2 linked regions of the Canis lupus familiaris genome follow. The protein of the gene in region 2 interacts with the protein of the main gene of each other region in a pairwise test. Links are inferred from orthologs where the notes say so. Each region holds a gene or a part of one and is shown on either strand. Other genes may lie near its edges.

Region 1 (4,381 bases), on a different chromosome or scaffold from region 2:
ACTGGTACTCATTCTCCTCTGGGGCATTGTCAGGCCCCGCGCCCAAGGACCTGCTGTAGCTGAGGGCCAGGTCCGCAGAACAGCCCGAGAATGGCTCACTGTCCACCTGGGAGGCCAGCCTGCCTGGCTTGCTCAGCTCCAACTCAGAGCCCCAGCCAGCAGAGCTACGGTCTAGGCCGGGCAAGCTGTCTCTGGTGGAAATGTCTGTGGGTACTGGAGCCGTTGCAGTCTCCTGGGAAAGAAAGGAGGGGCTAGAAGGGACTGGAGATGACTCCATTCCTGGCCAGAGTGTGAACTAGAATCCCAACCCTCTAATTTCCAGCCCATAGTCCAGTGAGGAAGCCACACCCTCTTGGAGACTCAACCCATTGATTCTGCAGGAGGGCAGTGGGGAAGGGGGGGCGGGGCCTGAGGCTCTGCAAAGGTATCAGTAGTGACTTCCTTCAAGGCACCCCTCTCCCTACTCCCCGGCCTGCCTGTGAGCTCACCCTCATGCCCTTCCCTGGGCCCTGGGTGGCTGTGGCATCATCCTTCTGTGACATTTTGCCTAGGCTGAGGGCTATGGAGCAGCCACAGGGTCAGAGGCCTGGCCATGTGCCTGAAGGGTCCAACGGACTTGGTTCCTCTGTCAGACCGCAGCAGCAAGGCCTCAGGTGCAGGCCCAGAGGGGGCAGCTGTGGGGGGCTGGGTCAGTGTGGCTCCCTCAGGCTGCTTTAATCCAGCTTAAGACTGCTGTCTGTAAAGCCCTGGTCACAGAAGGGCAGACTGGATATCCTAGGGGCAAAAATCAAGGCACTGAGGCAGACAGGCCACCCTGCTCTACCCATCACTGTTCCGTCTGCCAAACAGCACTGCTGAGTTTAACCAGGAGCTGCAAGCTCTAAACAGGCCACCCAGCCCTCCTGAGGCAGCAGCACTTAAGAGCTCTAATGATTATTAGTATTCTAAAGGTGGTGGTGTGGTGTCTGGACAAGGCTAGATCTCAGCTCTCTCCCTACACCCTCAAGAAGAAGCCATGGAACAGCCCAGGCTAGAGGCTGAATGGAGACTAGAAAGGGTCCAAGAACAGGGCTTGGGGGGAAAGCCTGGATCACTGCTAGAAGGGAGAGACTCACCCCTGAGGGTACGTTGCTGCTGATGCTGGGCACTGTGTTGGCAGGCCCCTTGCTGGGCACTGTGCTTGCGGACATCTTGTGGTCAGGCACCAGGCCAGCAGGCACTCTGGGGGGCACTGTGCCCGCACGTGTTGAGTTGATGGGCAGTTTGGACGGTGGTAGACTCGTAGTGGGCATTGTACCAGAGGGTTTTGAGCTGGCAGGCAACTTGGAAGGCGCCATCCTGTCAAATGTTGAGTGGGTAGGCACCTTGGAGGGTGCTGTGCTGGTGGTCAGTGCACCAGTGGACACCCCTGCCATGGTGGAGCAGATGGTGGCCTCACCATGGTCGCCAGCAACCCCTGCAGAGGCCGAGCCAGGGGAAGAGGAGGTAGTGCCGGTGGACAGAGCTAATGCTGAGGGTGCAGGCAAACGGCTGGCCCTGGGGATGGAGCGGCTCAGGGGTTTGAAGGAGACAGTTGGAGACACAGGCCCACGGGCTGACGTGAGGCCGGAGGCAGTGCCTACAGGTGGCAAAATAAAAGGGGAAACACAAACCACAGGACCGTTACCCTAAAATCACAGTCGCCTTGGGATCAGAAGGCTGAAGAAAAATCTCTATAGCCTAGCTCAAGTACCTACTGCATCCAGGCCTCCCAACCTCCCAGCCGTGGAGTCCCTCTGGTCATTGTACCCCAGGCCCAACGGTCCAACTACTGCAGGTGCACCTGTGGTCCTCTCTATCCTTAGTTCGGGACCTAAAACTGCATCTATTCTCTCATGAGAGTGAAATGATCCTTTCCCCTGACAGCATCTAGGAGTTTGCAGATCGTTAATTATCCTCCGCTCTTTCTTCTCCTGTCTGGAACACCCCCCCCCCCTTTCCTCCTGCGTCTACTCCCTAGCTTGGTACAATTTTGGATGCTCCCGCCTCTGCCACCTTCCCCTCCCCGACCAGCAGGAGCCATCCTGGACCAGGGCGAGGTGGCTCTAGTAGAAGAGTTCACAGTAGTCATATGGCACCAGAGGGCCCCCCAGCCCCAAGTATGTGCAAATCTCCCAGGAGGCCTAAGGACTCGAGGGAAAGGGGGGCAGGAACAAAGCCAACCTTGAGAGGAGGGCCTGAACTAGGGCAAACAGGAGGGAGCAGAGGATGATGATTACCCATGGAACCTCTGAGAACACACATGTCAGGCTCTAACGCTGACAAAGGCCTGGAGTAATTCGGATGTACCACCTCACTGCCCCCAAAACCTAACACCACAGAATCTTTCAGGACCCATGTCCATGCATGTCCTGATATCTAAGTGCCCTCTGCCTCCCTGGTCCACTTCAGTCCCCTGAAGCTCCCATTTCCTGAAAGGTGTTCTACTGCAAGCTGACACTGAACAGCATAAATGGGTGCTTGGGAAAGGTTTTTGGAGTGACATGGGCATAGGGCGCTAAGATGGCTTCTCTGAGCCTTTAACTGTTCCCGTGCCTTGTGGCTATCCCAGGGACACCAAAGGCAGGGAAGACCATAGTGCTCCACAGAACACAGTTTAGGAAATAACGATGCAGAGACATGCCAGCCTGAGAGGTCAGAGTGGACAGCTCTATATTCCCAAGGTGGGGGTGCAAAGATCTAGTGTGGGGGTCCGGGCCCTCACCTGATGAAAATAATACTTCCTCTGGGGGCTGAGAGGCTTTAGTGGTTCACTGGCAGCTAGAGCCCCTCTTGGGGCAGGGCAGTGCCTAAGGGTTCCCCTGCCAGGAGATGGCCCCGGCCTTCTGCACCATCCTACAGGTCCTGGAGAACCCCTGCAGTGTCAGTCCCCTTGGAAGAGTCCCTAATCCTTTTCCTCTAGCTATATCCACACCTTCTGCAATGTGAGATGGGGTCTGGCACCCTACTCCTTGACTCTGCTAGCCTCGTGCTTTGCTCTGGCCCACAGAATAAGGTAGGAGGAAAGCTGTCAGTTCTGAGCCTTTGTCCCAGGAGCCTGCTCTCTCAGAATTCTGCTCAGCTGCAATGAAAGAGACTTATCTGGTGAAGGATGAGGACTCACTGAAGCAAACCAAGGGGCCCCAGCCAAAAGGCTTACGCAGAGTGTGCATGTGTGCCAGTGTGTACACAAGAGGGAATTTAGCCAAGATCTGAAGAACTACTCTGAGCCAGCCCAAATTGCTGACCCACAGAATCAGGAGGGAAATAGTCCTATCTTAAGCTACTAGATGCTGGAATGGTTTGTGACATGCAAAATACTGATATGCCCTCTAAGGATTCGGGTTGCTCCCTGAGGTATATCCTCTTTATTCCCACCCTTGCCTCCTGTCCATGGAAGCCAGAGGGGCAACTCTAGTCTTCACCCTCACTGGGAGGTCAGAGAGGCCTGTAACTCCAGATTCCACACATACCTGCTATATGGGCACCGCCCAGCCCTGTATCCTGCTCCTGATGCCCACTGGCAGTCAGAGGGTTGACAGCTGCCATGTCAGAGGAGGGCTCCCGGGGGCCAGCTGGCCTTCTCACAGCCCCAGAATGGGGCATCTGGGGGACTTTCTTTGAACTCTGCAAGAGGGAAAATAGAAATGAGGCAGTTGCTTCTCCCAGAAATGGGCATCTCCTACAGGCCTCAGCCCGTGCCAAAAAGCACAGAAACCAAGGAAGCCCCTGGCCCTGGCTTTGGTCCTTGACAGACCCTCTGCCTACAGAAACCTACCTCATAGAAAACACAAACCATCCCATGGGGAGACTCTATTCATCTGCCTGCCCCATAAAAGGTCTCCCTCTCTGAGGCTGCTGCACAGACCCCTTTCTTGGACTTCAAGTCCATGGTCTGGTGTTTCCTGGACACACCCCATTGTCCGCTTATCACATCCAGATAGAATCAGTCATTTTCCCCCTGAATTTGACTTTGCTGGCAATGATAACTCCATCCATCCCCTTACTTCCAGCTTTCCCAGTATCCCTCCACTCATGGTTCCCCGGTCCCTCAATCTAGTTCAACATCTCATCACATGAACCAGTGCAAAGACCTCAAAACTGTGACCTCACAGCAGGTTGATAAGAGGGTTGGGGGCTGCCACAGGGTGAAGCCCTGGTCAGCAGTCTGAAAGCCAATTTGGAGCATATCTCCATTGAGGAAGCCCTGAGGTTCTGAGCAGAGATTAGGCATGATTTGTGATGGAGACACAAAAGCAGGGGGCCCAAAGTAGACTGTGAGGACGCACCTCTTCCAGGGACTCTGGTAGCTGGGTGTCCTGGACAGGCAAGGGGAAACTTGGCTCCTCCTCTCTGTAGCCGT
Region 2 (4,946 bases):
TTTTCATTCTCTTTGGATAAATACCCAGTAGTGGAATTATGGGACCATATGGTAATTTTGTTTTTAATATTTGGAGAAACTCCATACTGTTTTCCACAGTGGCTGCATTAGTTTGCATTCCCACCAACAATGCATTAGGATTCTTTTTTCTGCACATCCTCACCAACATTTATTATTTCTTGTGCTTTTGATTTTGGCCATTCTGACAGGTGTGAGGTGACATCTCATTTTGGTTCTCATTTTCATTTCCCTGATGGTTAGTGATGCTGAGCATCTTTCCACGTGTCTGTTGGTCTTCTTCGGAAAAATGTCTATTCGTGTCTTCTGTCTTTTGTTTTTTGGGGGGGGGGGGGGCTTGCCAAACTTTTTATTTAGTATTTTGTAGTTGCTTAACATTCTGCCAATTTTTTAATCAGATTGTTTGACTTTGGGGCAGCCCCAGTGGTTTAGCACCACCTTCAGTCCAGGGCCTGATTCTGGAGACCCGGAATTGAGTCCCACATCAGGCTCCCTGCATGGAGCCTACTTCTCCCTCTGCCTGTGTCTCTGCCTCTCTCTCTGTCTCTGTGCCTCTCATGAATAAATAAATAAATAATCTTTAAAAAAAAAAAAAAAGATTGTTTGACTTTTTGGTGTTGAGTTGTATAAGTTCTTCATATATTTTGGATATTAACCCCTAATTGGATACATTTGCAAATATCTTCTCCCAATCAGTAGGTTGTCTTATTTTGTTGATGATTTCCTTTGCTGTGCAAAAGCTTTTTATTTGATGTAGTTCCAATAGTTTAATTTTGCTTTATTTCTCTTGCTAAAGTAGATCAATGTAAAAAAATGTTTCTATGGCTGATGTCAAAGATATCACTGCCTATGTTTTCTTCTAGGAATTTTATGGTTTCAGGTCTTACATTTAAGTTTTTAATCCATTTTGAGTTTGTTTTTGTGTATGGTGCAGAAATGCAATTAATTTTTGTATACTAATCTTATATCTAATAAGCTTGTTAAACTCTCCCAACAATCTGCAGATTCCTTTGGATATTTCAGGTAGGCAAATTATATCGTGATTGAAAGTAATCTTTACATTGCCTCAGATTAAGCAACATGAAGCACATGAGGATAGCTCAAAATTAATAGCATTTCACTTTTACCGCATTCTGAAACAGTCAGTTAATATCCTGATTTATGAGTAAGAAGAATGAACTAACCTGCATGACCAAGGGCATCCAAAAAGCCACGGAACCAGCCTTCTTCTTGGAGCTCCAATAGGCACTTAAGAAAAAGTGAGGCAGCCTCCATCGTGCCTTTATTGTTCTTCTCAGCCTGAATATACTGCACCTCATCTACAAATAGAAGAGTGGCTCATCAAACTGCAGAACCACTAATCACTGAAGAAAAAAAAAAAAAACCTGAAAAGGGTTGTCAGACTTTCTCAAATAGGGATGGCAAGGGACACCTGGGTGGCTCAGTAGTTGAATGTCTGCCTTCAGCTCAGGGCACAATCCCAGGATCTGGGCTGGGGATCGAGTCCCACATCCGGCTCCCTGCAAGGAGCCTGCTTCTTCCTCTGCCTATGTCTCTACCTCTCTCTCTCACGAATAAATAAAATCTTTAAAAAAAAAAAATGGGGATGGCGATTGTAACAAATCCCAGCAATGGAAGGAACTGCAAGAAGGCAGCAAAGTCTCTGTTCAGGCAGATGATGCTCATTCTTCATCAACCTACCTTCCCTCCACCCTGCATCCTCTCTAGAAGTTTCTTCTAGTTTGGTGGGAAGTCTGGGAACATATTCTAGGGCAATCCTTTAAAAAGAGAGTTTCTTAACAATGTGTGGAAAAAGTATACCCACAATAAAGGAGATGGGACCACTCCATGGCATCTTTAATTACACCAGACTCAGAAAGCAGAGTTAGAAATACTTTCATGGTCCTCTTTCCAGGTTTTTGCTTAGACAGTATGAAATATGGGAGAAAAGGCAAAAGGAGCTAAACACACACACACACACACACACACACACACACACACACAAGGCCGAGGAACAGAAAACTATCCACCAAACTGCTGGTGGTCACATGACTTTGTACACTAACTCCATGTCTGGGGCAATGACCAAATGGTTGCCTTCACATGTCCTGCCACTTGATATTTCCGCACTTGGAGCCTGAAAAGGAGTGACCAGATCCCCCTTTCTCCTTTCAGCTCCTTCCAGGCATCACCTCCTTTTTCCTCTTTCCTCAAAGCCTCTGTTCCTCTCCAGTGCAGTGCACCTGGATTCAAATTAACAAAGATCTATCATCAGGTGTCTCCAAAATCTAGACAGAAACACCTGAAATGAAGCCGGCAGCCATTCAGCCCAGAGTCTCTTACCCCTGGCAAGCTTCCAGTAATTCCTAAGTGCAGAGAAGACTCGGCAAGAGTCACTGTCAAAGTCACTGTCAATTACCTTGAAGCATTTTGCAATCATTTACATACTCAGCAGTCTCCACTCCCACAAAATCTTGGGCTGCAAAGTATTTTAAAGAGGGGCCTACATCTCACTCCTGAATCTCTATTGTCACTACAAAGCTGAAGACACGGTAGACATTAAGCATTAGAGAAAGTAAAATGGACAATGGTTTGTTTCCCCCTTCTTGAACCTAAATAGAGGTGCACACCTACACAAGTCATTTCCCTTCTCTGGGGCTGTTTCTCCATCTGGACCCCTAAAGGCTCCTCAGACTGTCCTGGCGAACTCCAGGCTACAATCCTGAGGATCCTGCCTCAACATCCGCGTTCCTAGCATGCTACTTGTGTTGATTAAAAGGGGAGAACAGAGTCCTGAGTGGTTTCCTTGCTCCGAGGGGCAGGCGTCCCTGGGGACCACTCACCATCCTTAAACCAGGGGGCCATGTAGCTCAGGATGTAGGCAGGGTCCAGAGTCTTGATGACATAGTCCCGGAAGGCGTGCAGGTTTCGCCGCTCCTCGGCCGTCATTCTGCAGCTCAGCTCCCGGGGACGTCCGCACCTCGCCCGCGCTCACTCCCTTAAATGCCTGTGCCGGGCTTGTAGGGATCTCAGGCAGCGGACGCAGACCCAGCGCTGAGAGGCGGGGCCGCCGCCGGGGAACCCCAACTGCGGATGGGAAATCGAAACCGCAACTGGCGGCCGCGGGCCAGGGGTGTGGGGGTGCGCGGCCGCTGCCCCGCCTCCCGGGCCAACCGCACTCTTCCCGAGCTTTCGTTTCGCGTCCTCCGAGTGCCTGGCTTGCCAATCTGGAGGCGCCCGCGACCGGGTCCCTCTGGGTCCTCCGGAAGGACCGAGGACAACCCCCCGGGAACTTTTCTGATTATCATTTTGGGGTTTTTCCCCCCATTTTGCTTTTATAGCAAAGTTTAGATTCAATAAAATGCGCAAATTTTAAGTGTACGATTCCATGAGTTTTGAAAAATGTATATGGGTGGTAACTGCTTCCCCCAGGGCGTGTAGGTCCTATGGTAAGTGAATGTTTAACTCCACAGAAACCTGCCACCCGTTTTCAAAAACAGACGTACCGTTTTGCATTCCTAGCGGTAGACGAAGAGATCCAGTAGATCTACATTGGTCAATTTGCCATCATTGTCTATCAATGTGGTTTTGACTTTAACTCCTCGAACAGTTAACGTGAGCATATTTGCATGTGTTTATTGGCCATTCATCTTCTTTTGTGAGGCATTTGTTCCCATCTTTTTGCCTGATTGTGTTTCCTTTATATTATAGATTTACAAGTTATTTATTCTGGAGATGAGCCCATTGTCGAATGCATGTATCCCACCCAAATACCTTCTCCCAGACTGTGACTTACCATTTCATTTTCTTAAAAGTGTCTTTCAAGCAAATATGAAATGATACAAAGAAATCAAATAGGGTCCGAGACAGAAAATAATGGAGGTTGGAAAAAACTATTTTAATACAGTGGTAAAGGCATATATATCTCTGGGTAGGTCACATTTCAGCTGAGTCCTTAAAAATGGGGGAGGAATTAACCAAAAGAGTAGGAAGAGAGGGATTCTACGCAGGGGGATAGAGAGCACAAATGAATCAAAGAAAAAAAAAAGGTGAACAAGGGATAAATGGCATGTAGTGTTGCTGCATTGGTAAACAGGGCCTTGTAAGGCAAGGGATAAAGTACAATAGGAACACATAGCAGGACTTTAAGGAGTAATTTGATCACATTTTTAGAAAAGACTTGCCCCCTGGCTCCTATGCAGAACAAGTATCAATGAGAGGAGACTCAAGAGATGATGGGATCACAGATAAGGACAGTAGACATGGAGAGTGTAAGAAATGAAATGTTTCAGATATACTTTAGCAATAGGAGTGAGCAGCAGTGGAAAGGAAAGGGGGAGGGGACTCAAAGCTACATTCCAGGCATCTGGTTTGAGCAACTAGAAGAATGGTAGCACCGTGACTAAAATGGAGAAGACAGGTTTACAGCTTAGTCTAGTCCAGCGTGGCAGACAGACAAAATATATGAGTAAGTTCAAGAAGGAGAAATAAATAAAGCCAGATAAGAGAATAGAGTCGTGAGGGCTGCTTATATCAGATGAGCTAATGAGGGATGACCTAAATGAAGTGAGAGAGCAGGTCATTTGGGTGAAAAAGCATTCTACTAAACAAAGTGCAAAGGAGAAGGAGAAAGGAGGAGGAGAGGAGAGGAGAGGAGGGGAAAGGGAAAGGGAAGGAAAGGGAAAGTAAATGGGAAAGGGAAAGGGAAAGTAAAGGGGAAAGTAAGTAAAGGGGAAAGTAAAGGAAGGGAAGGGAAAGGAAAGGGAAAGGAAAGGGGAAAGGAAAGGAAAAGGGAAAAAGCACAAAAAACCCAGGAGTGAACCAGGCCTGCGAAAGTAAAAGAGGTGAGCAGAGTTGCTAGAGTGAAGTGGTCTGAGGGGAGGAGAGGTGGCCAAGGCAGTTCACATACAGTCTGACAGACCACTGGA

The links.
Region 1: the proteins of DDX58 (region 2) and MAVS interact in binary tests that used the Homo sapiens proteins (3 or more experiments, as listed by UniProt). The link is inferred for Canis lupus familiaris from reciprocal best matches to the Homo sapiens genes RIGI and MAVS.

The regions. Positions count from the first base shown.
Region 1 is NC_049245.1:17,965,740-17,970,120, forward strand, and holds part of MAVS (mitochondrial antiviral-signaling protein), read right to left. Parts: coding exon 4,308-4,381; intron 3,646-4,307; coding exon 3,492-3,645; intron 1,619-3,491; coding exon 1,116-1,618; intron 233-1,115; coding exon 1-232.
Region 2 is NC_049232.1:50,025,881-50,030,826, forward strand, and holds the start of DDX58 (antiviral innate immune response receptor RIG-I), read right to left. Parts: upstream 3,136-4,946; 5' UTR 2,968-3,135; coding exon 2,862-2,967; intron 1,338-2,861; coding exon 1,203-1,337; intron 1-1,202.